7 linked regions of the Mus musculus genome follow. The protein of the gene in region 1 purifies or fractionates together with the protein of each later gene. This does not show direct contact. Links are inferred from orthologs where the notes say so. Each region holds a gene or a part of one and is shown on either strand. Other genes may lie near its edges.

What was found.
Region 2: the proteins of Hsf1 (region 1) and Hnrnpa2b1 purify together in Homo sapiens (affinity purification with mass spectrometry; 3 studies listed by BioGRID, with this or other methods). This does not show direct contact. The link is inferred for Mus musculus from reciprocal best matches to the Homo sapiens genes HSF1 and HNRNPA2B1.
Region 3: the proteins of Hsf1 (region 1) and Hspbp1 purify together in Homo sapiens (affinity purification with mass spectrometry; 5 studies listed by BioGRID and IntAct, counting the BioPlex papers as one, with this or other methods). This does not show direct contact. The link is inferred for Mus musculus from reciprocal best matches to the Homo sapiens genes HSF1 and HSPBP1.
Region 4: the proteins of Hsf1 (region 1) and Smarca4 purify together in Homo sapiens (affinity purification with western blotting; 3 studies listed by BioGRID). This does not show direct contact. The link is inferred for Mus musculus from reciprocal best matches to the Homo sapiens genes HSF1 and SMARCA4.
Region 5: the proteins of Hsf1 (region 1) and Hsp90ab1 purify together in Homo sapiens (affinity purification with western blotting; 3 studies listed by BioGRID, with this or other methods). This does not show direct contact. The link is inferred for Mus musculus from reciprocal best matches to the Homo sapiens genes HSF1 and HSP90AB1.
Region 6: the proteins of Hsf1 (region 1) and Bag3 purify together in Homo sapiens (affinity purification with mass spectrometry; 3 studies listed by BioGRID and IntAct, with this or other methods). This does not show direct contact. The link is inferred for Mus musculus from reciprocal best matches to the Homo sapiens genes HSF1 and BAG3.
Region 7: the proteins of Hsf1 (region 1) and Fbxw7 purify together in Homo sapiens (affinity purification with western blotting; 4 studies listed by BioGRID, with this or other methods). This does not show direct contact. The link is inferred for Mus musculus from reciprocal best matches to the Homo sapiens genes HSF1 and FBXW7.

What each region holds. Positions count from the first base shown.
Region 1 is NC_000081.6:76,476,192-76,480,161, forward strand, and holds the start of Hsf1 (heat shock factor protein 1), read left to right. Parts: upstream 1-1,170; 5' UTR 1,171-1,409; coding exon 1,410-1,526; intron 1,527-3,970. Other genes in the region: ribosome biogenesis protein BOP1, read right to left, coding at 938-1,030. UniProt on the Homo sapiens protein: Functions as a stress-inducible and DNA-binding transcription factor that plays a central role in the transcriptional activation of the heat shock response (HSR), leading to the expression of a large class of molecular chaperones, heat shock proteins (HSPs), that protect cells from cellular insult damage.
Region 2 is NC_000072.6:51,467,046-51,471,194, forward strand, and holds the start of Hnrnpa2b1 (heterogeneous nuclear ribonucleoproteins A2/B1), read right to left. Parts: upstream 2,801-4,149; 5' UTR 2,632-2,800; coding exon 2,626-2,631; intron 382-2,625; coding exon 346-381; intron 251-345; coding exon 140-250; intron 8-139; coding exon 1-7. UniProt on the Homo sapiens protein: Heterogeneous nuclear ribonucleoprotein (hnRNP) that associates with nascent pre-mRNAs, packaging them into hnRNP particles.
Region 3 is NC_000073.6:4,664,482-4,667,981, forward strand, and holds part of Hspbp1 (hsp70-binding protein 1), read right to left. Parts: intron 378-3,500; coding exon 222-377; intron 136-221; coding exon 39-135; intron 1-38. UniProt on the Homo sapiens protein: Inhibits HSPA1A chaperone activity by changing the conformation of the ATP-binding domain of HSPA1A and interfering with ATP binding. Interferes with ubiquitination mediated by STUB1 and inhibits chaperone-assisted degradation of immature CFTR.
Region 4 is NC_000075.6:21,614,989-21,618,968, reverse strand, and holds the start of Smarca4 (transcription activator BRG1), read right to left. Parts: upstream 2,801-3,980; 5' UTR 2,569-2,800; intron 1-2,568. UniProt on the Homo sapiens protein: ATPase involved in transcriptional activation and repression of select genes by chromatin remodeling (alteration of DNA-nucleosome topology).
Region 5 is NC_000083.6:45,570,462-45,574,547, forward strand, and holds the start of Hsp90ab1 (heat shock protein HSP 90-beta), read right to left. Parts: upstream 2,801-4,086; 5' UTR 2,706-2,800; intron 1,451-2,705; coding exon 1,304-1,450; intron 1,159-1,303; coding exon 952-1,158; intron 717-951; coding exon 557-716; intron 339-556; coding exon 205-338; intron 106-204; coding exon 1-105. UniProt on the Homo sapiens protein: Molecular chaperone that promotes the maturation, structural maintenance and proper regulation of specific target proteins involved for instance in cell cycle control and signal transduction. Undergoes a functional cycle linked to its ATPase activity.
Region 6 is NC_000073.6:128,522,271-128,526,382, forward strand, and holds the start of Bag3 (BAG family molecular chaperone regulator 3), read left to right. Parts: upstream 1-1,312; 5' UTR 1,313-1,588; coding exon 1,589-1,774; intron 1,775-4,112. UniProt on the Homo sapiens protein: Co-chaperone and adapter protein that connects different classes of molecular chaperones including heat shock proteins 70 (HSP70s), e.g. HSPA1A/HSP70 or HSPA8/HSC70, and small heat shock proteins (sHSPs), e.g. HSPB8.
Region 7 is NC_000069.6:84,902,577-84,906,076, forward strand, and holds part of Fbxw7 (F-box/WD repeat-containing protein 7), read left to right. Parts: intron 1-924; 5' UTR 925-993; coding exon 994-1,503; intron 1,504-3,500. UniProt on the Homo sapiens protein: Substrate recognition component of a SCF (SKP1-CUL1-F-box protein) E3 ubiquitin-protein ligase complex which mediates the ubiquitination and subsequent proteasomal degradation of target proteins.

The sequences.
Region 1 (3,970 bases):
ACAGAGGGAAAAGCTTAGGGGCGTTTCATAAAACAAAGGGACAACTTACGTAGTGGTTCTCAACCAGTGGGTCACAATCCCTCTGGGGCGAGCAACCCTTTCATAGACTATCCTGCATATCAAATAATTACGATTCATAACAGTAGCAAAATTACAGTTATGTTTTCTTTTTGGTTTTTTCGAGACAGGGTTTCTCTGTGTAGCCCTGGCTGTCCTGGCACTCACTTTGTAGACCAGACTGGCCTCGAACTCAGAAATCCACCTGCCTCTGCCTCCCAAGTGCTGGGATTAAAGGCGTGTGCCACCACCACCCGGCAAAATTACAGTTATGAAGTAGCAGCGAAAATGATTTTGTAGTTGGGAAATCACCGCAACACGAGGAACCGTATTAAAAGGGCCACAGCATTAGGAAAGTTGAGAACTTTGAGGATCCAATTCAGTGGAGTCAGCTGTGCATGCCTTCTACCACCTACATTTGATGAATGTAGCAAGCCTACTGAGCTTAGCAACATGGACTAGCAATGGTTCCATGACAACCAGTTCTGGATGCCCTGGGTTCCAATCAGACTTCCATAATCTCAAGTCCTCTTTTGATTCACAACACACCTGACATGCTGGCTTGGTAGCACAGCACGAGCGCAATTACAACCTTTCCCAGGACAGGAAGCACAGATGGAAGGTCCAGAGACTATGGTGAGGGGACTCTTAAAGGTCTCTCCCTTAACACGGTTCAAGCCACAGAACTATCCCCCGGGTTCCAGCGCCCCTCGGCGCAAGTAATGTTCTGCTGAGAGTTCCAAAATAACAGCCCAGACTGGACGATCAGGCTCTAGGCGACCCACACGACACTACACGCTGCGCCACGGCCCGGCCTCCCTGGTCTTGCCAAGTGCCTGCATGGTTCCCAGAGGGATGCTGTCCGCTACTTGGAAGTTACCTCTTGTATCTGCAGCTCCTGATCAGGTTCCAAACGTCGTTTCCCCGGCAGCGATGCCGGTGACATGTGGGGCTTACCACACGCCCCCGCCATGCTGCGCCGCGCCGGCTACCGATCTACTGCCGCTTCCGGCAGCGGGAGCGCCTCGTGTGCCCCCAGCCAGGCTCCGCCCTACCAGGCTCTGATTGGTGAGCAGCCCGGGTGAAGCCATCTTGCGCAGGCGTAGGGTGCGGCGCAAGGGCTGGGCCGGCAAAGTAGGCAGGGGAGATCACGGCGCCTGCGCACAGAGGCTACAGGTCTGGCCCTAGCGAGAGCGCGCCGGTCGCAAGATGGCTGCGGCCATGCGAGGCCTTGCTGTGTGTGCGCAGCGGGCGGCGGAGCGGCCCGGACGGCAGGGGCAGCGACGACACTAGCTCAGCCTTCAGCCACTCTTCTAAAAGGCCACCCCAGCCTCTGCCTGCTTTCGTCCGAGATGGATCTGGCCGTGGGCCCCGGTGCAGCGGGGCCCAGCAACGTCCCGGCCTTCCTAACCAAGCTGTGGACCCTCGTGAGCGACCCGGACACAGACGCGCTCATCTGCTGGAGCCCGGTAGGAGCTGGCATGGGCCGGAGCGGCCTTCGAGGGAGGGTCCTGTGGCGGGAGGGGACCTGCTTCGGAGAAAGCGGCCTGCGAGTTAGTCGGGCTCGCCCGGGTTCAGCCATCCTGGCATCCTAGAGGGAGGACGCCGCTGTCTGGGGAGGAAGTGCGCCCCGCCCCCAGAGCCACTCACGGAGAGTAGGCCGAGACCCCAAATCATCCTACATTTCACCCGGACAATAAGGACGGGGCTTCCAGTACAGGGTCTTTGCTCACAGAGAAATAGTTCCCAGAGTCCGTCTGCGTTTCTGCTTTTTAGGCAATCATTCAGAATAAGTGGAAGGCCTAAGGAATGCATGAGAGAAGAGCGAGAATAGGAGGATGTGGAGCCTAAGCTCAGCCCCGATAGTCTCCAGACGCCAGAGCAGTTTTGCCCGGCCCTCCAAGGGCCGTGTCGAACCCTGTTCTGTTGCCTGGCAGCGGACTGTGTACACCGCACACCCTGCTGGCCCTGCATCTCTGGCTGGCTTGCAGAGGTCGTTCCGTGTTTGTGTTAAGTTGGAAAGTAGAATCTGCTGTTCACATGTGGATTCTGAGGGCCAGAGCGCGCAGAGCTAGCCGATGGTGGTGGCCTGAAGACAGGCCACCCTGATTCAATGGGAACCTTTGGAGGGATGGAGGCGGCTAGGTGCCACCACCTTGACCTTCTGCAAGCCAAATCTGGCGGGTCTCTCGGTCTCTGCGGAGCACTGCCCCCTCGCACAAGTTTCTTAAGCTGGCAAGAATGGAGAAAAGGCCTGGGTGGCAGATGGAGGCCAAGGCTTCTGGCTCTCAGTTGCCTGTTTGTTTAAACTCTGCTCTGCCTAAAGGGTGTTTTGGGAATAAAGAGAAGACTAGAAAGCACGGAACTTCACTTTTCACGAGACGGTCTTTGTGATTATCCCATGGGCTATCCGTGGGCCGCGTTGTTTTCCTGAATGCCATATTCAGTTCACAGCCTGTCCTGGATTTCATACACCTGGGCAGAGAGTATGATCTTACCTTTCTATCTTTCCCCAATTTACCCCCCTCTGTTTTCTTTGACTGAAGGGGAGCTTTCTTACCTAGGTCCAGTAGGACTACCAGGTAGCCTCTGGAATAGTCTGAGCTTAATCCTATTAGGAAGATCCATCCTGTCTGCTGTTTCTGCTTATAGATTGGTACAAATGTGGGCGAGGTGTCAGTGTAGGTTCTTCCAGGACAGGGTGTTCTGATGAGGGCCTCTCAGTGTGAGGATGGAGCTGATCTGCCCTGTCACCTCCTTCCATCCACACAGCTGCAACTCATCTGTGAGCCTTGTTAGCGTGCTGGGAGTCATGGGCAAGTAGTCTGTACTGAGCAGCAGTGGACTGCTATAAGACACGCTGTAAGCAGTGGAGCTGGTATAAGAGACGGTGGTCAGTGGGAGCTGGCATGACCCTGAGTACAAAAAACAAGCTCTGACGTAGAAGTAGAAAAAAGAAAACCCTTGTCTAGGCCATCCAGGGACAGCAGAGCTTCTTGGATCTGGCTGTCTGTTCACAGGTAGGAATTCATGCTCCTGACCCGTGGCCTGTGGGGCATGTACATTGTCTTGGTAGCCTCTTAACAGCATTCCCTGCGGGCCCACTGATCAGGAAGTTTGAGGTCCACATTCTTACTCAAACTTGCAGATAAAAATTGTCTTACCCTTCTCAGGCATATCCTCCTCCTTGAGGGGCCAGGGAGCCTGTCTAGCCCCAAAAGTCTTTGAGCTTTGCTCGGTTCGGCTCCTCATTCCTGCTACAGGAGACAGAACAGATCTCTACCTTTCTCCAGTTCCATGGTTCCACTCCCCGTCCCCGGCCCGCCTTCAGTTACAGGTGCTCCACAAGAACCTCAGGCCATCCAGAGGGTTCCTCAGTCAGGTCCCACGGGACAGCACACCCTTGACCAGATTTAGGATCCCAGTAAGATCCCTGCAGGCGCGTGAACGTGGGTGTGGATGGTCCTCTCTCAGTAGGCTTCTCTTTTTACCCTGTACCAAAGGTGCCTCCAGATTCCGTGCCCAGAGATGCAACAAGTAGGTCGGGACAACAAGTAGGTCGGGCTAAACAGTGAATCCATAGGGTCATTTCTCAATCCTGGCTTTCTCTCTGTGCTTCCTGTGTCCCCTCGGTCAGACACTTGCTAGCATTGTTGGAGAGCCACCTCGGTGCATTTTGAAATGGGGAATGAAGCCCAAATAAAAAAGCCAAAGCTTAGAACCTGTATCTAGCTTTATCCAAATTTTGTAAGATCATTTTGCCCCACCCGTTTTAGAAATATTAAAAAGAAACATGAGAAATAAGTTTGTCTAACTCAAAAGAGTACAGATGGTGGTAGTTTGTGTGTGTGTGTGTGTGTTTTAATTTTCTTCTAGTTTTTAGAAGGTGAATGTTTTTGTGTGTGGTGTGGTT
Region 2 (4,149 bases), on another chromosome or scaffold:
GCATAACCTTTAAATCCAAAAGATAAGCATTTAATTTCCCGGCATTAGGTAGCAATATAAATTAGAATGTATTGATACTGGTATTCCCTAGTATTCACACCCAAACATACAGCCAGACTTTCAGAGTTAACGTACGTACCACACAGTCTGTGAGCTTTCCCCATTGCTCATAGTAGTTTCTCAAACTTTCTTCTGTGGTTTCAAAGCTTAAGCCACCAATAAAGAGCTTTCGGAACTGTTCCTTTTCTCTCTGCAAAGGGAAATACCATTTCAATTTTTATTTACACTTTCTTTGTATGCAGGAAATTAAATTCTTAAATATGAGGTGACCTGCTGGTAGAGTACCTTTTTCCTCTCCAAAGGAACAGTTTCTAAAGTTTTCTGGGGGGGAGAAAAAAAACTTACATCAAATTTAAACCATATGTTAAACTGCATATTAGTTGTGTTACACCAAAAATTGCCTGAGCTATACAAGTTTCAAAGTCACTAATATTCGATCTAACTTCTAATTCACGTAAACTTTCTTAGATTTTCTTCAAAAAAATTCAGAAAAACCATACCCAGCTCTTAGGTCATTTAAAGGGTATTAAAGAATTCTTTTGTAATTCATTAAATTCTACAACCCAAGTCCAAAATTTACTACTTTTTAGATTTAAAAAAAATTTAAAAAACCTGTTTCCAAATTCACCACTTCCAAGATTCAGTTTCTGAAAAGTGGCATATTTGCTTTTCCCTGAGCTGCCCCCTCTGGTGTTAATTGTAAGTATCTCAAGATGAAAAAAAAAAATCCTGCAACTCTGAAACAAGCTCCATGAAGAATGCTGAAACTCCAGATATCACCTTAAATCTGGTTTTGTCAGGCACTTAATACTGGCTTTCCAATAGCTAAGTACAAAAACTTATCAAGATGTTCATAAATTAGGTCATACTATCCAGGACCTATGACTGCACAACGAAATGAAAAAGCAAAATTATAAAACAAATCCGTTATTTTACTGTATAGCCTAAATTTGTAAGTTTCTCCAAAATGTGCTCAAAAAGCCAATGTTTACAATTTTTAGGTTTTGAAATGTTTAATAAAAACGACCAAAATTGTTTTAAATAGTCAAAATAGTTACAAAAGCCTTAATCAGGACTCCAAATAGTGTTTCTGGTAGCTCTACTAAAATGTCAGTAAATTGGCTTTCCTTAAACTAAGTTGCAAGTATTAAATACACCTTGTTTTTTCATATCACTAACGAAAGCAAAAGCTCTTTACTTACCTCGGGTTTTTTCCAAACTTACCAGACGTCCACTATCGATTATAAACAAGGTTATTTTATTTATAAGTGTGCTTAGAGTCAAAGAAAATAACCAAGGAGACCCCTTTCAATTCGAAAGCTAATGCTTATCAGTGTAATGATGCATCATAATTTCAAACAAATAAAAAATAAAAAAACCGAATGACCACGCTCAAACACTGTGACCCCAAACTAAGTTTTTATATAGCCAGGACGTGGATTTTCGTCCACTGAACCAGGCTTTAAGCGAAGGCTAACTATGAAAAGTCAGCTATTTCACTTCCTTAAAGTGAACACCACGTGCTAAGGATCCGTTGACTTTACCAACAAATTCGAAGATTCCCTTAAAAATGCTTATAATTTGAATTATTTCGATCCGAGGATCCTTTAAGCAGATAAAAGTTCTGCAATAAAAGGAAAGTAACCCTGCACTCAACATAGCCTCCCTAGCTTCCTGATGAGCGCTCCCATTTTTTCCACTTTGACTTCCTCCTACTATACTAATGCTCAAGTGCTTTACTACAGCACCCGTAATCTTACGTATTATGAAAAATAAAACGGTCTCTTTGCAGCGACGCTGCCTTCAGCCACCCGCCCAGGCCTCGGTTGTACTACGTTCTCTCTGCCTGTTCCAGTAAAGCTCGTGGAGCGCCGCCACCCCGCCCCCACCCCGCGCCTCGGTGGCTTCAGAAAGCAATGGCGCCATTTCGTCGAGGGGAAGGCAGAGAGCCTTTAGCGAGGTGCGCAGGACGCTGAAGACCCAAGCTCAAAACGCTAAATCCACCTCGAAACGGTATGAAGACTTCCAAAAGAAAGGAAAATCGCTAAACACGTCTACGCAGTGGTGAAAAAAGAAAACCAAACTAGTAAACCTAAAGCGTTGAAAGCAAAATCGTGGCGAGGAAGGAGACGGGAAAATGGCGGCCGCCAAATCCGGTTCCCGGGAGAGGGGGGAGGGGAAGCTTCGCAGACTCGCTCCGGGAAGCCGGGGGGGCCCCAGAAACGTTCCGCCGCGAACACAACCGAGCCCCTAGGCCCGCGCACATCGAAAGGCCAGCGATGGCCCGCTCACGCGCTACTTTAGCGGTCCAGCCCGGTCGCGGCGGGCACTTCCCATCCCCCACCCCAACTGAGGGAAATGGCGCCGGGCGGCTGAGGGCGGGGAAGGCGGTCGGACAATCAGAGGCCTCCTCCAACGACCCCTCAGAAACTCGCCAAGGCCAACCGCCACTCGAGTGGCCGCATCCCCTCCGCCGGACCACGGAGGCGGGTGGCCGGTTTCCATTGCGGTGCCTACGGCCTCGCCATGCCATTTTTAATAACTCATTGATTTCAAACCCGTTACCTCCATCGCGGACTCAGTCGCTTCAGCCCGATTTCCCGCAGCCGAGCGAGATGAGAAAGACCTCCGCGGACGGACGCGCACGGGACTCGTCCTGGCGCTGTGGGGAGAGCAGGCGATGGCCAAGAAACTGGGCCGCAAAGGAGCTCCTGCACACGGGACCGGCGCCGCTGCTACTGCCGCTGGAGCCGAGACCGCCGCTTTTCTAGAACCTTCCCCCCACTAACGCGTCTCCGCTTACGTCACGCCGTTACGTAAACGCCCTAACCGCCGCCAATGGCGGGAAGGGCCTACACTCTCCTTACGCCAAGTACGTGACACTCCCCCTTTAGGTACAGCGGGACTGCTTTACATCACTTGCGCAACTGTGTTCCGTGAATTGCGGAAGGCTCGCGCTCGGCGTGTTACTACGTCCGGAACTAGGTCCGGCCCCCACCTCCGCGTAGGGAGCGGAGAAACGGTCGCGCAGTTTGAAATAACGCCGTCGGGAGGGGCTTAGGCCGGCGCTGGGGCGTGCGGCCCTCTCCACCCAAGCGTGCTCTCTGCAGCTACGCCTTTGCCAAGCCCGTCCGCACAAATATTCTCGAACCACACAAATATTTCTACACGTCCCAAAGGGGTTCTCACTCGGTCCCTCCCAGAAGGACTTTTAGTCCAAGTACCACCCCGGATGCCACAAGCCTTGGGATCCCGCGCCTAGTGAGAGGTGGTGCTTAAAGAACCCCGCTGTTTATCTCCCCGGCCTTCAAGATCCGGGCAAGGAGGTGGGTGGAGCCCCGCTTTGGCGCGCTCCGAGACGCAGAGAGGCCTCCGCGGTCCTTCCTGCCCGCCTTCCCCCCCCTCCCCCCAGCCAGGAGACCCCCTGGGCGCCACGCCGCGGACGGTGAGCATTGCGCGCGCCGCCCCCCGCAGGACGCGTTCCCGGCGGGCCCCGCGCGGCCAGGGCGTGGGCGGTGCTCCCCCTCCCCCCCGGCGGAGCTGCCCGCGCCCCCTCCCCTCGGATGTGGCTGAACCGAAGCGCGCAGGCGGGAGACTCTGCAGGATCCGCGGCCCTGAGCATCGGAGCGGTGAAGTTCGTGCCTTTGCTTTTTTTCGATCTTGCGTGTGGTGGGGTTTAGGATGCTCCGTGCGTCCGAGCTTGCGGGGAGGCTGCGAGCCCCGTGGGCCGCGGGCTGCGGGAAACCGGCTGGGGCCTCGCTGAGGCGGGCGCCGCGCCGGTGCGTGGGGGAGATGGGACAATTGTGCATGAGGGTGGGAGCCGGATGACAGCTACCGAGACTCCAGACAAAGCGCGGGCCTCCCCTCCCCCAGCCTCGTCGCAGGCCCGCAGGGAGAGAGCGGTTCAGGCTCTGCAGCTGCGAGGCCCGAGGCTCCGGGCTGCGGCGCGCTCCCGGCTACGTGGCCGCCGCCGGATGGGGGAGGCGCGGGCCCGTGGCGCAGTGCCCTTGAGCCCCCGCCGCCGCCTTTGTTTCTCCCCGCGGAGGCGCTGACCACGAGGCCCGCGCTCTCGGGTGGGGGACGGGCTCC
Region 3 (3,500 bases), on another chromosome or scaffold:
TACAAGGCCCCCTCCTCCTAGGACCCCGGCACACCTACCTGCACAGGGCTCCAAGCACATGCTCATGGAAAGGACTGTGTTCTGTCCTCACAAGGGCCACCAGCTGCTGGACCATCCCCATGGAGCAAAGGGTTCCTGGGGGAAGAGCTGTGGGAGTCAGCAAGGACGTTCCCATACCACTCCCATGCGCCCCAGATGCCTTTGTCAGGCCATCTGCTCACCTTTGTGCTCAGGGTGGCCCACCAGCAAGTTCTGCAGCAGGAATGCTGACTTGACCTTGAGCTTCTGCACTTGCTGCTGCATGGCCCGCATCAGCACTGAGAATCCATCCAGGCGGAGGAACTGCAGCAACCCAGCCTCCTGCTCTCGGACAAGACCTGGAGGGAGAAGCAGAGCTCTGAGGTCCCAGTCACTATGGCCTTCAGCATCACCACCACCACAGGCACCAACGCCACTAGCGTTGTGACCATCACCACTATACCCCTCTCACCACCATCTCAGTTACTACAACTAACTCCACCCATTCACTCTTATCATCATTGCCATCACAATCAGCATCAATTCTAGCACCACCATCACCATCAGCAGCACCACAATACCATAACCATTACTAAACCCGTCAATATCACCATCATCACCTTGACCACCACCACCATTTCCATTAATAGCCATCATCCCCTGTACTATCACCATTGCTACAGCCATGAACACCCTCACCACCAAATCACTATTAGCATCACAACCAGCATTATCATTACTACGTAGTCACTACTTCCATTTACCAGCACTATCATCACAATCACCACCACCGCCATCACTTCAACCATCAGTGGTACTGCCACCATCCCACTGTCAGCAGCAGCAGCAGCATCATGACCGCCACCACCATCACCATCATATAGTTCATCATCATAACCCAGAGTTCACCCTCTTAATGCATGTAACTCAGTGTTTTTTAGCATGTTCACAAGCTATGCAGCCATGGCTATCACAACTCCAGAACATTTATATCATGCTGGTACCCAGTGGATGACATTCCCATTCTCAAGTGTCCCTCCTGCCTCTGCCACCACAGGTCTAGTTTCTTTCCCTATTGATTTGCCTATCTTGGATACCTCCTCTGAATGGACTCACACAACACAAACCTTTGTATCTAGTTTTAGTCACTCAATTAAATGTTTTCAAGAATTCTGTAACTACTTCATTTCTTCTTACACTAGAGCAATATTCTATCTTAGAGGCATGTAACTTGTCTTTTGCTACTTTGTGGGTTGTTCTTTCTTCCACCCTTCTCCATCCCTTTTCTTTCACCCTTTCAATCTCCTAGCACTGGATAAGAGGAAAAAAGGATAGAGAGAAAAGGAAAGAGACCCCTGAATAAAGTCAGGGGTCCGAAGGGGGAAGGCAACGTTTTTGTTAGACTACTTCCTGCTGATTAAGGCATTGCTGATTGGGGCAAGACTGATCTTTAGTGTAAGTATCTAATCTCTTCTTGTAGTTTCTTCTTTCTGTGCACTGACTACTTAACACACTATGATCAACAGCAATCAACAACCACCCCTGCCTCTTGGAACCCTTGCATTTATTTATTTATAAATCCTCTGAAAAGTTCCCGAATTATAACCATCACACAATTACAGAAACTATCTGCACCTGGCAAAATCATGCCCCTGCTAAAGCATGAGGCAAATCACAGTCAGCTGCTATGGACAATCTGAAGCAGCCCCATATCCCACACCTGGGATTAAAACAAAAACATATTCTTATAATATTTTTGTGTATAATATTTTGGATACCTCCTATGAATGGATATTTTTGTGGTTTTTAGAGAAGCCAAATTTCCAAAATTGCCTTTGTAGAGACAACAGCACATGTTTGTGCATTATCACCTTTTACTTTTCACATATACCCAGTAGATAGGTGTTCTTGGGTTCCAAATTTATCTATTTTCTCATTCATTCAGTCATTTACTTATTTTGGTCTTTTTCTGTTTGTGTACATGATACATATGTGTATCGTGCACGTGAAACCCAGAGGTCAAGCCCGGTGTTGTCCAGAATCACTGCCTACCGTGTTCATTGAGGCGGGGTTTCTCACTGAACCTGTAACTCCCTGGTTATAGCAGGCTGAATTACTAGGAGTTCCAAGGACTACCAAATCTCTGCTCCCCAGCTCTGGGATTACAGCCCCAAGCCTCCTTGTTTGTCCTGTTACACGGTACTGGGCATCTGAACCCAGGTTCTCATGCTTGCAAGCATTTTACCAACTGAATCATTTCCCCAGCCTTATTTATCAGCTTTAAGATGAGGTTTCATAGGTCTCAGTCTGGCCTCCAGCTTGCTCACACAACCAAAGATGACCCGAGTTCTTCTTAGCCTTACTGTTTCCACCTTCAAAATGCAGGGGTTAAAGGAATGCACCACACGTGTCTTAAATTCCCATTTAACAGACACGACAGCCAGGCTTCAGAGCATGTATGATCTTTCTTCCGAAGGCAACAAGGATTCTGAGAAGCCGTCAAGCAGGGTAACAGCCAACCAGGGATGCGTCTGCAGGAAGGTCAAGCTCCAAGCCTTCACTGCTCAGACAGAAGCCACTGCAAGTTCAAGGCCACTAGGTACCTCACATGTGCCAAGTGTGACTAAGGAGCTGGGCTGTCTGTCCCCTTTCAAGTTCATTGAAATAGAAAGTCAACAACCAGAAAGGCAGTACATTTTTCCTCTAAACACAACTCTGTTGTTTTAGTAAAACTATACACCAACCTTTGGAAGCTCTACACCTAAACTGAGATGTGCTGAGTGTAAAATGCATACCACAGACTTCTGAGACTTAGCAAGACATAAAGACACAAAAGATCATTAACAGTCCATATGCAGGGGCAAGAGGGATGGCTCAGTGGTTAAGCTCTTAACTCTGGGGCCGCTCTCCCAGAAGACTCAGGTTCATTTCTCAGAACTCACGTGGTGGCTCAATCACCAGTAATTTCAGTCCCAAGGGATCCAGTGGACTTCTCCTTCTGAAGAGCTGCGCACCAGGCATACAACTTAGTTGTACAGGCACACATCCACATAAAATACCCATAAACTCATAAAAAATAAATTTAAAAAAGTTTAAAACTGAAAGGGGCTGGAGAGATGGCTCAGAGGGTAAGAGCATCGACTGTTCTTCCAAAGGTCCTGAGTTCAAATCCTAGCAACCACATACTGGCTCACAACCATCCGTAATGAGATCTGACGCCCTCTTCTGGCACATCTGAAGACAGCTGCAGTGTACTTATTTATAATAAATAAATAAATAAATAAATACCTTAGAAAACTTTAAAAATAGGTCTGTACCCACTATGTGCTCTGGAGCTGGGGTCATAGGCAGTGACAATTGCCCGATGTGGATACCAGAAACGCTGCTCATCCTCTGCAAAAGCAGTATGCTTCTTTTTTAATAAATAAATAAATAAATAAAAACCTGCTGAGCCATCTCTCTAGCTTATTTTCTTTCTCAAG
Region 4 (3,980 bases), on another chromosome or scaffold:
TCATCCCTCCCAAGGACCACCCCTCTCCTGTCCCATTATTGCCTGCTGGAGACAGACAGAGCAGCAGCTGTGATGACATCGCTCCACTCCCAGCTATGGGGCCAGGGGAGACACATCTTCCCTAATTTTGAATGAAGATTCCTCCTTCATGCAACCTTCTAGACATGCCCACCACTGCTCCCTTGGGCAACCACTCTGTCCCTTCACAAGATAGGGTATGAGGCTTAAACGGCAGGCCAAAGGGTTAGAGAGATGCATACATACATACATACATACATACAATACATGTCTACCATGCACAGTGCCATGGATTCCAAGCTTAACAACACCCAAAACAACAAACAACAACAAAAAACCCACATTAATAAAAAAATAGCAAAATCAAAACAATGCTTGCAGGATACTAGCTTGGTGGAAGGACACTTACTTCCCTAGCATGTACAGGATCAACTTTGATCAACACCTCAAAAATTCAACACACTTAAGACTTAGGGAAAGGAGAAATGACTCAACAGGTAACTTGCACTGAAAACTGACTACCTGAGTTCAATCTCGGGAAACCACATGAAGGAGGGGAGAAATGACCCCGGCAAAGTCTCTCTGACCTCCACACACAAATAAATAAGGAATTGTAATGCTTTAAACTGCTTGGCACTGGTGGCTCAGTGTGAATCCCAGGCAGAGGCAGGCAGCTCTGAGTTCAGCTAGAAGTCAGCCTGGTCTATAAAGCAAGTTCCAGGACAGCCAGGGCTGCACAGAGAGACCCTGTCTCAAAAAAACAAATAAACAGGGCATGGTGGCACACACCTTTAATCCCAGCACTCAGGAGGCAGAGGCAGGCAAATTTCTAAGTTCAAGGCCACCTTGGTCTACAGAGTGAGTTCCAGGACAGCTAGGGCTATACAGAGAAACCCTGTCTGGAAAAACAAAAAACAAACAAAACTGAATTAATTAAAAAAAAAAAAAAACAAGGGCAGGAGAGATGGCTCAGTGGTTAAGAGCACTGACTGCCTTTTAGAAGGTCCTGAGTTCAAATCCCAGCAACCACATGGTGGCTCACAATTATCCGAAATGAGAGTCTGAAGACAGCTACAGTGTACTTAGATATAATAATAAATAAATCTTAAAAAATAAAAAATAATAAATAAATAAAAATAAAACATAAGTGGCCTTAAGGGCTTTGCTAATGCAAGAGTTTAATCCCAGTACTCAGAGGGCAGAGGCGGCCAATCTGTGTGAATTTGAGGGCAGCCGGTAACAGAGTTCTAGGACAGCCAGGACTATACAGTGAGAACAGAAGGGGGCCAGGAGAATCAAAACAAACCCAAAACTTCTTAATGAATTAATACACATGCAGGCCAAGGAGAAACGTCCCCATATTTACTGCCCATTCCCCTACCAGACATGTAACACAAAGTAAAAGATTCAACTATCTGCTGGACCAGTCAAGAACAAAGAACAGGGCAGGAAGCCTGGCTGAACATCATCCCAGCACTTGGGAGGTGGAGGCAGCAAAGTGAGGATGAAGCCAGCCTGGTCTACATGAGGAGCTGGATGTCAGCCTAGGTTATAAGAGTCTGTCTTCAAAATCAGAATAATGATGATGTAGGAACGATTTGCCTAGTTCTTCCCAATCCTAACAGCGAAAGTAATTCCCTTGTACAAAGGAGGAAACCAAGAGGTTTGGCGAGATTAGCGATTTCGCCTAAGGCCACACAGCAAGCTGACAGCAGCCGGCGCTGGGCATCAAACTCAAAGGCTGTCTGTCAGTTCAAACAAAAACTTGTTTCTAGTTCCTGAGGAGTCACTGGAGGTAAAAGGGATCAAGTAGATGTCTTCGGACCCGCACAAAACACTTGCCTTCGGTGTTTTAAAATAAAAAACCCTATCTTAAAAACTGGGAAGGGCCAAGGGACTCAAAAGAAAAACAATGCCGCCGAGAGCAAACGTCCCCAGGCATCTTTCACTTTTTAGGCAAACATTTTGAAGCCATGGAAGAAATTCTTTATTTTTCCTTCAAAATCTGCAATAATGAAATTTATCAAAAAAAAAAATAATAAACATGAAGAAAGTAAGGTCTGGAGACCGAAGAGGGCTCATGACTGTGTCCAAGCTACACTGGGCATCAATAACTGAGGTAAAAATGTTGCTCCCGACGCCCGACCACAGGGCATTGGGATCCCACCCGTTACAAACGAGGCCAGAAAAGCCCACGACACCTAGCCACTGTTCAAAGTTGGGGTCCACAGAAATTAAAGTGGGGGATCTGGATCTCTGAAACGCCAAAGGGAAGAAGCTTTGTCCAAGACCCTACGAGAACGCGCGCGCGGCCTTCACGCGGCCCAGAGCCACCCGCCTCGCCGGCCACAGTCAGGAAGCCGCCGCGGTCTCGCTGCACTGCGGCCTGAGACGCGCGCGCAGGGCTTCTTGACCCTCAGGCGCCGCCGTACCGCGACCCCGCTTTGGTCGCCCAGCTGCCCCCTCCCCCTCCCGGCGCCTCCGCTTCATTCAAACCGTCTTGCCCAAGCCCCGGGAGCCTGGTTCCGCCCGGGAGCCTCCATTCCTTACCTGGAGGTAACGGCGCCGTAACCTTCCTGGCGCCGCCCCCAACCCTCCACGAGGGGTCGGGGACAGAGTGGGCGTCTCGCTTCTCCTCAGGAAACAAAGAAGCCGTCTCCGCCGCTGCCAAGCGAGTGGGAAAGCCTCGCGCGCGCGCCCGCTGGGCTTCGCCAGGCCACCCCCCCCCACCGCACGCGCCCGCCGCGCGCCCCCGCCTCCCTGTCTACCCGCTCCACTTGCCCTGCTTCCGCTGCCCGGCCGGCCTCGTGCGCGCGCCAGCCCACCCTTCCGCTCTCTGCGCGCATGCTCAGCCATTCGCTGTGCGCACGCGTACTAGTCCTTTGAGGGCGCGAGGAGGTGGGCGGGCCCAGAGGCTGCACAAGATCCTGGTGCACCGCCCCTGTGGGGGGCTCGGGGCGGCTCTGCGCAAGCGCACATCTACCTCCCAGGCACGAAACTGGGCCTCAAGCCGGGAGGCATGCGCAGTGGGGGTAGCACTGCGGCGACGCTTAAAGGTTGGGGGAGGGGGTGGGTGGTCCAGATGGGAGATAGTAAGGATGAAATTAAAGTCCTCAGGCTCGGAGCAGTTGGAGCACCCAGGGAGGAAAGAGAAGCGGAGAGATGGCCAAGCTATCCCAGGACCGGCAGAGCCCACGCGGTGCTAAGTGCAGGCCCGGGAAACGCTTTGATCCTGGTTCTGGCGCTGCCCTGCCTGCTCTGCAAGACTCTGCCCTGGCCACATTTCCTGCAGAACCTGCTGAGGCCCAGTAATTAGCTTTACAAATATTTATTGAGCTGCTATCGGCTACTTGCTGCCCTCTATTACAGTCTGTGGGGAGGCAACCGAATGAATAAGTAAAATACAGAGTGTGAGGTAGAAACAGCCATATTCACAATTTAACTTCTGATTTCCAAGAAAGCCATTAGCCTTGGAGCATAGAACTCTGTCCAAATCTGTAGATTCATGCCTCTGGTTGAGTTTTTAAAATATTTGGTAGTGTTCGGGAGGCAGAGGCAGGTGGATCTCTTGAGTTTGTTACCAAGGTGTTACTTGTTTTTGTTGTGTGTCTTTATGGTTTGTTTGTTTGTTTGTTTGTTTGTTTTTATTTTTTTGGTTTTTCGAGACAGGGTTTCTCTGTGTAGCCCTGGCTGTCCTGGAACTCACTCTGTAGACCAGACTGGCCTCGAACTCAAGAAATCCGCCTGCCTCTGCCTCCCGAGTGCTGGGATTAAAGGCGTGCGCCACCACGCCCGGCTGTCTTTAGTTTTTTAAGACGGGTTTTCTTTGTGTAGCCGTGGCTGTCCTGGCACTTGCTCTAGACTAAGCTGGCCTCGAACTCAGACATCTTCCTTCCTGAGTGCTGCATGCATGTACCAATCCAGCTTGGTCTTTTACATAGTGAGGTTCCAGGGCAGCCATG
Region 5 (4,086 bases), on another chromosome or scaffold:
TTCAATCTTAGGCTTCTCCTCATCCTCCTTATCTTCCTCCTCTTTCTCACCTTTCTCTTCCTCTGCCTCATCATCACTGATCTCCTTCTCCCGTTCCTTCTCCAACTAAATCACCAATGACACATGTAATTAATTGTGGAGAATGTAGCACCAGCAAGGCCCAGTGCCATTAGCCTGCTCCAACACTGCCAAGCCCATACTCACATAGAGGGTGATGGGATAGCCTATGAACTGCGAATGTTTCTTCACCACTTCCTTGACCCTCCTCTCCTCCAAGTACTCTGTCTGGTCTTCTTTGAGGTGAAGGATCACTTTGGTACCCCGGCCAATGGGCTCACCTACAGAGAACAAATCAAGACATGAAAAACTGAAACTAAAATACAAGAACGAACTACGCTTTTTTCGTTCCTGGTTTCTCAAGCAAGCTAAGATTCCTGTGTAGCCCCTTTGCTTGCCTTAAGAACTCACCCAAGTGCTGGCACTCACCACCCCTTAAAATGTACTTTTATAGAATACAACGTCTAAGGTTTCCCCACAATGTAGCCTGCTGCCTCACCATGGTCTGCCCGGACGGTGAAGGAGCCACCCGCAGACGACTCCCAGGCATACTGCTCATCATCATTGTGCTTCGTGATCACAACCACTTTCTCTGCAACTAGATAGGCCGAGTAGAATCCGACACCAAACTGCCCGATCATGGAGATGTCTGCACCAGCCTGCAAAGGGTTTGAAGTAAAGAGGATCAGCAACATGGTTCTTGGCCAAGTATAACCATCTGCTGCGCAAGGTAACAATCAGTTCAATGTCCAGAGATCTAGGGGTCAAAGCTGTCCTGACCAACCACTTGTACTTTTTTTCTAATAAGTGTCCTAATATGTAATACCCTAGACAGACAAATTTTAACTTAAGCAGTAACAAATTAGAGGACGGTGTGGATGAAAGGCCACACACCTGGAGAGCCTCCATGAACGCCTTCGTGCCAGACTTAGCAATGGTTCCCAGGTTATTAATGAGGTCAGCCTTGGTCATGCCAATGCCTGTGTCCACCAAAGTCAGCGTGCGCTCCTGAGGGTTGGGGATGATGTCAATTTTCAGCTCTTTCCCACTGTCCAACTTAGAAGGGTCCGTCAGGCTCTCATATCGAATCTTGTCCAGGGCCTGTAGTAAACGCAAAAAGCCAGATTATTTTATTTTTCCAAACAGTCCCTCCCCCTTCAACATCAACTGAACTGTTCTTCTCAATCACTCCCACACACACACACACTTCCGTGAAGCCTTAGAAATTCAACAACAGAATACTCACATCTGAAGCATTAGAGATCAACTCGCGGAGGAAAATCTCCTTGTTTGAATAGAAAGTGTTGATGATGAGGGACATGAGCTGGGCAATTTCTGCCTGAAAGGCAAAGGTCTCCACCTCCTCCTCTCCATGGTGCACTTCCTCAGGCATCTAAGAATGAAAGAATTACTACTAAGGACCATTATAGACACACATTTTAATATCCAGCTCAAACTTCTTTAGTCTGGGAAAGTATCCAACCCAAAGAGACAAGAGCAGCCATTTTCTTTAAAAAAGGACATTTAAGCTACAATGGCCAAGACAAAAATGACAGAAAAAAACCTAAAAGATGGGTTTTCCAGAACAGATGCCCAAAAGTCAAACTCTTGAACATTGGCATGTTCAGTGCATAGCTCACTGACTCTGAACAGAACACCTGGCAATATGGTAAAAATCCAGACTAAGTTAACAATACATAAAAAAGAACCTCAAGCAACCCCTGGTACTCACACCCCTTAACTACAATCTCCTCATTGGGGTGAGGAACAACTTTAACAGAAAAAGCAGTCTTTTTTAATTTTTATTTTATTCCACCCAGCAGGGCAAGAGAACCTTGAAGCTGTAGTCTGGGAGGCGCTCACGGGGCAATTAAATCAGGACAAAGAAATCAAGAGCTCCACCGTGACCACTCACTGTGCAGACTTGCATAGGCCGGAACCCAAGTAAAATGGTGGCCCAGCCGTCCAACGACCCTCGTCACTGCCGGACATGCGTCGGCAGGAGCCACACGGGGAGGGGGCGCCATTGAAACCCTCCCACCGCCCCAGCATCCGGGCACTGGGGCGGGGCGCCCAGGCTTCCAGAACAATCTGAGCTCCGGGGAGGGGAGGAGAAAGGGAGGGACCTAGGAATCTTCTCGTGCCTGCTCTGTCTCTCCTCCCCCGCCCTCCACTGGGAGGGCAGAAAGATCTGGAAAGGGAAAGCGCGGTGGGTTCCGGCGTCCCTGCTGTGCACCCCTCCCCAAAATCAAGCACGTTGGTACCGGCGGCGTCCGGGGGAGGCAGCCAGGCCAACCTCCCCAGGCCTTGCTGAGTCACGCAGAGCAGCCCGCCACCGCGCGGACCCTGCAGCCGCGCCCGGAAGTGGAGGGCAAACATGGCAGCGTCCCGGGTCGGCGACTACCACGTGCGGCCGCCCACCACCTGGCCGGGCCGCACCCCCACCCCACGCTCCGGGGAATCCACCCGCCCCGGGGAGCCTCGCGTGCAAGCCCGCCGGGGTACAGCCCGAACCTCTAACCTCTAGACACGTTATCTCCACAGGCTGCCCCGCCGGGGAAGGAGGCTTTGGGACAGATGAGATGGAGGCTGGGACCCCGGGAAGAAGCCCCCGGAGAGCCGCCGGGGACGAGAGACCCCGGCCTTACCTTGACGGGAAAGCCGAGTAGTAGTACAGAGCAGGGTGGTGGGCCCGGACCAAGTCCGACTCGCACGGCAAGCCTAGGCTGCGCGGGGGTGACTCAAGAGAGCTCCCGAACGCCCCCGACCGCCCTATATAAGGCGAAGCACAGCCCGGGCCCCGCCCTTGGATCCCTCCGCCTTAAAGGAGTGGCTGCGGGCCACGCACCTGCCGCCGCCCGCCCACCTTGACGTCATGGTAGCAGATCGTGGAGGGGGCGGGGAGGAGCGGGACCCCGGGCCTGGTTCCTGAGTCAAGGCCAATTCAATATCGTTTTGCACATCCCCCATTTCTGCAGGAGTAGGACATGTCCCCCCTCAAGATGAGCAGGGAGCATGCATATGCAATTAGGGATGTATCTGCGGGCGAATACCCTACGGACTGCCTCAGAAAACTCAAGGTAGGCGCTTCCACCCCCCCACCCCCCAAGAGTCCAGAACTCAGGGGACTGAAAGAGAATGGAGGTGGCCAACTCGGCTGCCATTTCCAGACCCGATCTTACTAGAATGTTCCCTACAAATCGCACATCAAGAGAAAAGGATGATAAATTCCTTGTCCAACTTTAAGGAGGCCCCCGATTCCCCCATCCCCACCCTCCCGGGTACAGCACAGCTTCAGGCTGGGAGCCGCTTTCCCCGAGGGGAGGGGCACGGGCCTGGGCTGGTAGGGACTCTTTGGCGGCCTGCGGCGGAAGGATCAGCAGCGGTGGTGCTGCGATTTCTTCCAGCAGTTTCTAGGCCTGTCTCGGCGGTCTCCACCCCTCCCCCCTAGGCTCCACCTCCCCTGCTGCGGCGGGGGCAGTGTCTTCGTCGCCGCTTGGCTGGGTGGCTTTTTTTTTTTTTTTTTTTCCCCTACCTTGATCTTACCCTGGGAAGAAATTTTCCCCAAGTCTGCCTACCGTGGGCCAGGGTTGAACGACCCTCCACGCGTGGCCCTAAGAGGCCCACATAACAGTGGGGGAGTGGAGCGCAGAGGGAGGGATAGCTGACCTGGATCGGTCACAGGGCACGGGGGCTGTGGGGGTGAGTGACTGCGGACACCTTCTAGTGAACAGAGAACCGAGCTAGCAGCTTGCGCTACTGGGTAGAACACTCCCCACCCCTCAGCCTCCCCGGTCTCCCACGTACACAGCGCGCGGGTACGTGCGCCCTCCCTATGTGAGCACAAGCTGTTTCTCAAGCTGGTTTCGCTTCTCTAGCCTCTTCCCTACTGCATGCAGCTCTTTGGACCTAGAGAGGAGCAGGTCCCAGTCTTTTCAGAGAAGCTGGAGTTCTAGGCATCCGCATGAAGGTGCTGGTCACAGGTTGGCCCAGTTCCAGGAGCCAGAAAACCAAGTTGTGCCAGTGCCT
Region 6 (4,112 bases), on another chromosome or scaffold:
TATTTTTTAAATAGGGCATTGCTAGGCGTAGTAGATGGTAGTGTGCACCTTTAATCTCAATACTTGGGAGGCAGAACTATATAGATAGACCATATCTTTAAAAAAATATCCACAGCCAAGCAGTGGTGACACATGCCCTTGATCCCAGCACTTGGGAGGCAGAGAGATGGATCTCTGTGAGTTCAAGGTCAGCCTGGTCTACATAATTAGCTAGTTCTAGGACAGCCAAAACTACACAAAGATACCTTGTATTGAAAAACAAGCGAAAAAATTCACTTTGTATTCAGTCTTCAATAAACATCAATCTTTATTCCTTTATTGAAGATGGACTCTGGATTTAGCCACGTGCTGGGTGGGTTCAGGTATAAAGAAGCAAAAGACAGACACTGACCAGTGAGTGAATCTAAGTGTCTAGACCTTTCAATGTGACTATCAAATGATAATAAGTCAATATTCCCACATTTGGGCTTATACAGGTGTGTTTGGTGGCACCAGGCAGTACCTGAAGGCTAACTATGTTAATACTTATACTGAGGCTTTGAGACTTCAAAGTCAGTAAGAAGGTCTTTGGAAGTAAAAAAAATCAGCTTGTTGGAAATGTCTGGCAGAGTCCTCTAGTATTTGCCACAGAGTAAAAATCGGAGGGGAAGAGGCCAGAGATGTATCTTTGAAGGTCCCAGGACATTCTCTGAATCTGAGTCAGGAAATTGGCCTCAGTATTGGTTCCAGGTGTTTCTGAAGTCTAGTCACTGTGCGAAAGTGCCTATATAGAAGGCCAAGAGCACAAAGTTGTCACTTTAGTCCTTGCTTCTTCAGTTTTCCAAAGCAGGCAGGTGAGTTTCCACAGCTCTTTCTTTTTGTTGTGACCTCAGATCAGCATTCCAGAATTTCTCAGAAGTCATAAGGCCCTTGAGAAAAAGTTACTAAAAACGTCACTGCAGGACGCCAGCGTCACTGAGTGTGAAGAGAGAGAAAGAACTAGACTTTCCGAGTTTAAAGATGATTTAGTCCTTACACAAAGGTGGGGCCCCAGGTGTCGGCCCTTGGACTGCTAACCCCGGGACACCCCCACGCGGCACGAAAGAGTGGTGGGGAGTCCGGAGACAGAAACCAGCCAGAGAGCACAAGGACACCGGTGCGTGTCAACCTGGCGCGAGGCGCACAGGCCCCAGGACACACACAGGACAGGGATAGGGAGGGACAGCCTGGGTAGTCTAGGAGAAGGAGGGGCGGGTGACAAATCCCCGCCTCCGATCCCTCCCAAGGTCCCGCCCCGCCGCGATTATAGCCTATGACTCAGGGCGGAGCTCCGCATCCAACCCACGGCGGCCGCCAAGTTCTCTGGATGGGACCAGAAGTTTCTAGCCGGCCAGTTGCTGCCTTCTCTTTATCTCCTCCTTCCCCTTTGGCAGCTAGGAGGCTATTTCCAGACACTTCCACCCCTCTTCGGCCACGTCACCCAGTCCTTTAATTCATAAAGGTGCCCGGCGCCGGCTTCCCGGACACATCGGCTACACAGAGGTGCCCGCACTCCACGACCTCGTGACCCGCGCCCTAGCTCTGCGCCCCGGGCGGACCCTAACCCAGCATGAGCGCCGCCACCCAATCGCCCATGATGCAGATGGCGTCCGGCAACGGAGCCAGCGACCGAGACCCCCTGCCCCCGGGCTGGGAGATCAAAATCGACCCGCAGACCGGCTGGCCCTTCTTCGTGGACCACAACAGCCGCACCACGACGTGGAACGACCCGCGTGTGCCCCCCGAGGGCCCTAAGGTGAGTGGAGCTTGCCGTCCCACCTCGACGGCGAAGGGGCCTGGTCGAGCCAGGGCTATGCGAGTCACCCCACCCCGCGCCCTGCTGCGCAAGGAGAGTCCTTAACCATATCCGCCTCGAACGGGCGTCGGGCCGCAGAGAGCCGCAGGCAGGGTGGCCTTGGACGGTAGCCAGCGGGGTGCGACCCGCGTGGTGACATCGGGTGGTTTTCCACAGCCTCTTGCGAAGGGCGAAGGGCAGTGGTGGCCTGAGCTGCGGTGCGCCGCGTCCCAGGGAAGGGCGACCGGCCTGATGAGCGGCTGAGGCCCAGGCCAGGCCCGGCCGCCGCCTCTCTGTCCCGCGCGTCCCGTGCTGAGACCCTGGGCTCCCTCCGGTGCTGATGGCGCACGGCCAGGATTGAAAGGCTGCTGAGTGGAGTCTCCTGTGGGGATTTCACTTTCAAATTCAGAACTTAGTTGAGGCTTATCTTGAGTTTACTGGATCTTAGGCATAGAGTGACTCAGGAGGCTCGAGTAAATAAGTTATTTTCCCCCATTAAACTTATTATTACTGGTCGAAACTGCTTTCAGTTAGAGAAAATTCTGATACTACCACTATTTTTTTTTAAGATACTCTTTCTGACAGTTCCAAAACTAAAGATCAGACATTGTATCACCATACTTAGCCACTGCCTTAAGACTCACACTGGAGTGAAAGAATGTATTTTTAATGGCGTGATTCCTTGTTGTCCTTTTCAAATACTGGAGTTTTGTTACCAGAAACAGCTGAGGAGTCTGGTGAACACTAGGTGTATGCTTCATTTGCATAGATATTCAGGTTTGTGTACTTCAATCTAAAAAGCAAGAAAAATTGAAAATACAAATTTGGAATGAAGCCCAGCCTGGTTCAGGCCTGTCATCCCAGCACCCAGGAAGCTGTGGCGAGAGGATCTTGAGTTCAAGTCTAGCCAGGGCTATATAATCGGAGTCTATCTCAAAAGTTATTAAGTAATTAAGTTGGAATGAAACTAGCCTGTGTTGCAAAATAAGACCTTGTCTTTTTTTATAAAAAAAAAGAAAAAAAAGATTGAGCTGGGCAGTTGTGGCACACCTCTTTAATCCCAGCACTTGAGAGGCAGAAGCAGGCAGATTTCTGAGTTCAAGGCCAGTCTGGTCTACAGAGTTCCAGGACAGCCAGGGCTACACAGAGAAACCCGATCTCGAAAAACCAATAAAATAAAATAAAAATAAATAAAAATTCGATTGAATTTTGAGTGAAGAACTTAAAAATACAAATTTAGGTAGGATTTTTCTTGTTTGTTTTGTTTTTCTTTTTTTAAAATTAGATATTTTTTTATTTACATTTCAAATTTTATTCCTTTCCTCATTTCCCCTCCGAAAACCCCCCTATCTCATTCCCCCCCTCCCTGCTCATTACCCCACTCACTCCCGCTTCCCTGTCCTGGCATTCCCCTACGCTGGAGCACAGAGCCTTCATAAGACCAAGGGCCTCTCATTGATTTCCCACAAGGCCATCCTCTGCTACATATTGGGCTGGAGCCTTGAGTCCCTCCATGTGTACTCTTTGGTTGGTGGTTTAGTCCCTGGGAGCTCTGGGGGTAGTGGTTGGTTCATATTGTTGTTCCTCCTATGGGGCTGCAAACCCCTTCAGCTCCTTGGGTTGCTTTGCTTTTCAAGACAGGGTTTCTCTGTGTAGTGTTGGCTGACCTGGAACTCACAGAGATCCTCCTGCCTCTGCTTTCTGAGGCATGAGCCACCACCATCCGGCCACGTAGGATCTTTGAAAATATAGTTAACAGAAGTCATATTTAGCATAATGTTCAGTAATAATTTATGTACATTTGGTCCTTTCAAAATGAAAAGTTTGGTAAAGTAAATGCACTTTAAAATAGGACTCTATCATCAATGGGAGGAGAGGCCCTTGGTCCCGTGAAGGTTCTATGCCTCAGTATAGGGGAAGGCCAGGGCCAGGAAGCAGGAGTGGATGGGTTGGTGAGCAGGGGGAGGGGGGAGGGGATGGGAGTTTTCAGAGGGGAAACTAGGAAAGGGGATAACATTTGAAATGTAAATAAAGAAAATATCTAATTAAAAAAGGAAAAAAGAAAAAAAAAAATAGGACTCTACTTTGGGCCTGACCTGGTGGTACACAGCTTTAATCCCAGCTCTCAGAGGCAGAGGCAGGTGGATCTCTGAGTTCAAGGCCAGCTTAGTCAATAGAGAAATGTTGCCTCAAACAAACAAAACAAAACAAGAAGAAATACTCTTAACTTATTACTTTCTGGAAAAAAATAAAAGCAGTAAAGAGTTTATAAATTGTTTGGTATTTTCAAAAACTCACC
Region 7 (3,500 bases), on another chromosome or scaffold:
CAAATTCTAGCTCATGGACTAGGTTCTTGTAAATTCATTAACTAGTTAATTAATTTATGTATGTGGGTATTTTTGTTTCTATATATGTCTGTATATACCTGACCTGAAGAAGGTGTCAGATCCTCTGTAACTGGAGTTACAGATGGTTGTGAACCTCCATACAGGTGCTAGGAATTGAACCTGTGTCCTTTGGAAGAACAGCCAGTGCTCTTAACTGCTGAGCCATCTCTCCAGCCCCACTCATGGGCTCTTGTATCTTGTATACTAAACATCTGGATTTTATTCTCATTCTCCCCACCCCCTTTCCATCAGTGAGCCTCTTCTGTATAAAGTTCCCTTTCCTATTTTCAGATCCTTAGGATAGGCTACCACAAGTGGAGTTACTGGGTTAGAGAGTATGGACTTTTGTGTGTTTTTACCTACAATATTTAGATTTGTTGTTAATTGATTTATATTCATTGTAGAAGATAAAAATTACAGCGATTGTGCTTCTTATCTGAAGGTAAGGTTTTATGGTTCAGGAAGCTTGGGAAATTGCCAGGATAATAAAGCTCCTTGAAGGGGACTTATGCCAACATCCCTGAACCTTGCTGGTCACTTTATAGGTGGCTTTGTTGTTGTTGTTTGTATATGTTTAATAGTTAGTGAATGATTTATATAGGAATTATTTTATTGGCTAAGTTATATCTTATTGATCCAAGCAACTAAACCACCAAGCTTTTAGAGATTTATGAGAAAAGGTAGTTAAAAGTCTTTAGTATGATTTTTTTTGAAAAAAATTATAACTTACTTAATTTAAAACTTATTTATTACTAACGAGCGCGTGAATCTTTAATTATATACTTAGACTATAGGCAAATGACACGAAAATAGACAGTAACAAAGATTGTACAAATCTTGTTTATCCCCCTTTTCCTCCTACAGAATGTGAAAACCTTTGCATCTTCTGATAGTCTAGCCAAGGTCCAAGAAGTAGCAAGCTGGCTTTTGGAAATGAATCAGGAACTGCTCTCTGTGGGCAGCAAAAGACGACGAACTGGAGGCTCTCTGAGAGGGAATGCTTCCTCAAGCCAGGTTGATGAGGGACAGATGAATCGCGTGGTTGAGGAGGATCCACAGCAGCAAGCGAGACATCAAGAGGAGGAGCACACTGCGCGGAATGGTGAACTTGTGGGTGCAAACCCTAGGCCTGGAGACCAGAACGATACCCAGCAAGGACAAGTGGAGGAAAATAATAACCGCTTTATTTCAGTAGATGAGGACTCTTCGGGAAATCAGGAAGAGCAAGAGGAAGATGAAGAGCATGCTGGGGAACAGGAGGAGGAAGAGGAGGAAGAGGAAGAGGAGGAGGAGATGGACCAGGAGAGTGATGATTTTGATCCGTCTGATGACAGTAGCAGAGAAGATGAACATACGCACAATAGCAATGTCACAAACTGCAGTAGTGTCTCGGACCTGCCCGCTCACCAGCTCTCCTCTCCATTCTATACAAAGACAACAAAAGTGAGTACCTTTAGTCCCCTTCCAGCTGGTATGCTACCTCGCTAGTTCAGTTATAGTGAAGTCATCCTTGCAATCTTCACATGCAGAACAACTTTAGTAAGTCAGTTTTAGTTTGTTAAAGGCTTTAGTGTTAGAAATACAGATACTAATAAGAAGTCAACTTAATTGCAAAACTAGGGGGTGCGGATTGATGTTGTTTACCACCAAAAAAAAAAAAATCACCAGCTTCACCTTTGCTGCCAGAGTGGTTTGGGTGAGTGTGCAGGGTTGGTGTGAAATATGATGTGTGTAAATTAAGTAATGAAGAATCTTATTTGCAGAGTAGCTAATGTAGTCACTGTCTGTCGTTTCACCAGCGTTAACTCTAATGGGTAAGTTAGTGGAAGTCACAGCAAATAGTTCTGCGTTGTTGTTCAGAAGTTAACCGTGGCTCATGGATGTCTAAGTAGACTAGCTTTCAGTTAACCTGTTCTAGGGATTGCATGGAGTGACAGGTCACTTGTTCTACACACATAAAAACAAACAGTCCACATCAGACATCCCTTTACTCATTTGCTGATTTTTAAATTTAACAATGAATCATTGGATTTAGTCTGTAAATACCTGTAAATTTAACAGTATCTCTTTCAATATGGTTTGACTTTAACTATAGTATCTAATACAGTTGGCTTAAAATTCAATTTGCTGAATCAGTTTTGTTTTTAGGTTGTAAAACAAACTGTCTCAGAGAACGTTTGTACCTCTAATCTCCAGAGCCTGGTCACGTTGTTTTATTTACTTGCTGGCATGGCTTAGGAAGGAAGTGGCATCAGGTCATGGCTCTCTCCCATTTAACTTTCTCAAAATGGAGGGTTTTGGTCTGGGCTGATTCTTAGTGTTTTGCCGTTCTTTTTATTTCCGTCATAGCAGTTTAGAAAATCCTCTAGCACTCTGGAGGGCAGGGCAGGAAGATTATGAATTCAAGGCAAGACATTCTCTCAATTGCTTAAAAGACGTTTTAAAAGTTACCTGTAGCTGTATTAAGACTTCACATATCGAAATCTATTAATAAGAAGAAATTTATACTAATTCAGTATTTTATTTTGGAGGCCTTTACATCTTTGATCATTATAAAACAACAGAATTGTACAGTATCCTAGGCTGCAGTTTCATTTCAGTCCGCAACGTGGGGCCTTAGAGAAGAGTAGGGCTGAGATGGGAATCCTACTGGAGAGGCAGGTGTGGCAGCCTCATCACTTAAGGCAGGAAGATTGTTGTAGATTTCAGGCTGGCCTGGGCTGTATAGTGGGTGTGAGTCTGGGATGGACTGTTCAGAAGACTTTTATCTTTGAAAGGAAGAAAACGTCTTCCACGTTCTCAGTTTGCTTTAAAAATGTCCCTGTAGAAGTCTCCAGCAATCCTGACCGCAGCTCCACTTAGTGTGTCATTCTGCAGCATTTCTGCATTAATGAGAAAAGGCGTGTGTTCTCTGTTGCATTGGTTTACTCTACAGAGCACAATGGAGACTGTCCAGACTAAGGGCAGTTTCCTGCCCTTGGTCATTGAGCTTTCCTTTTTTGTGAGTGTAGAGAAGACGGACAGCAGTTTTGACCTAACTGTGAAGTGGGCACCCTTAAGTGCTGAGTATAACAGTGGCCAGTGGTTCAAGGCAGACTTGTACTAGTTCTTAAAATTTCTGAACTCTTGACAGGTTTTTTGAGGTGCTTTCTGTCCAGGTGACTGACAGACCCATTTGGACTAACTCTTAGTTATAGGGAACAGTCTCTGCTCTTTATAAGAAAGCCATGTTTCCTCTTGGGGCCATTAAGTTTTGTTCTTAAGGGAATATGCCATAAGCAGTATAGAGTATATTAGATACTAGATAAACAGATCGGGAATTCTAATATTAAGTGTCAAGGCTAATTGTAGTCAATAATTGCTGCTTATTAAATACAAACTGTTTACACGTTCCTGAATAGATAAGTAAACAGGTTATAGGGAGCCCAATGGTTCACTCC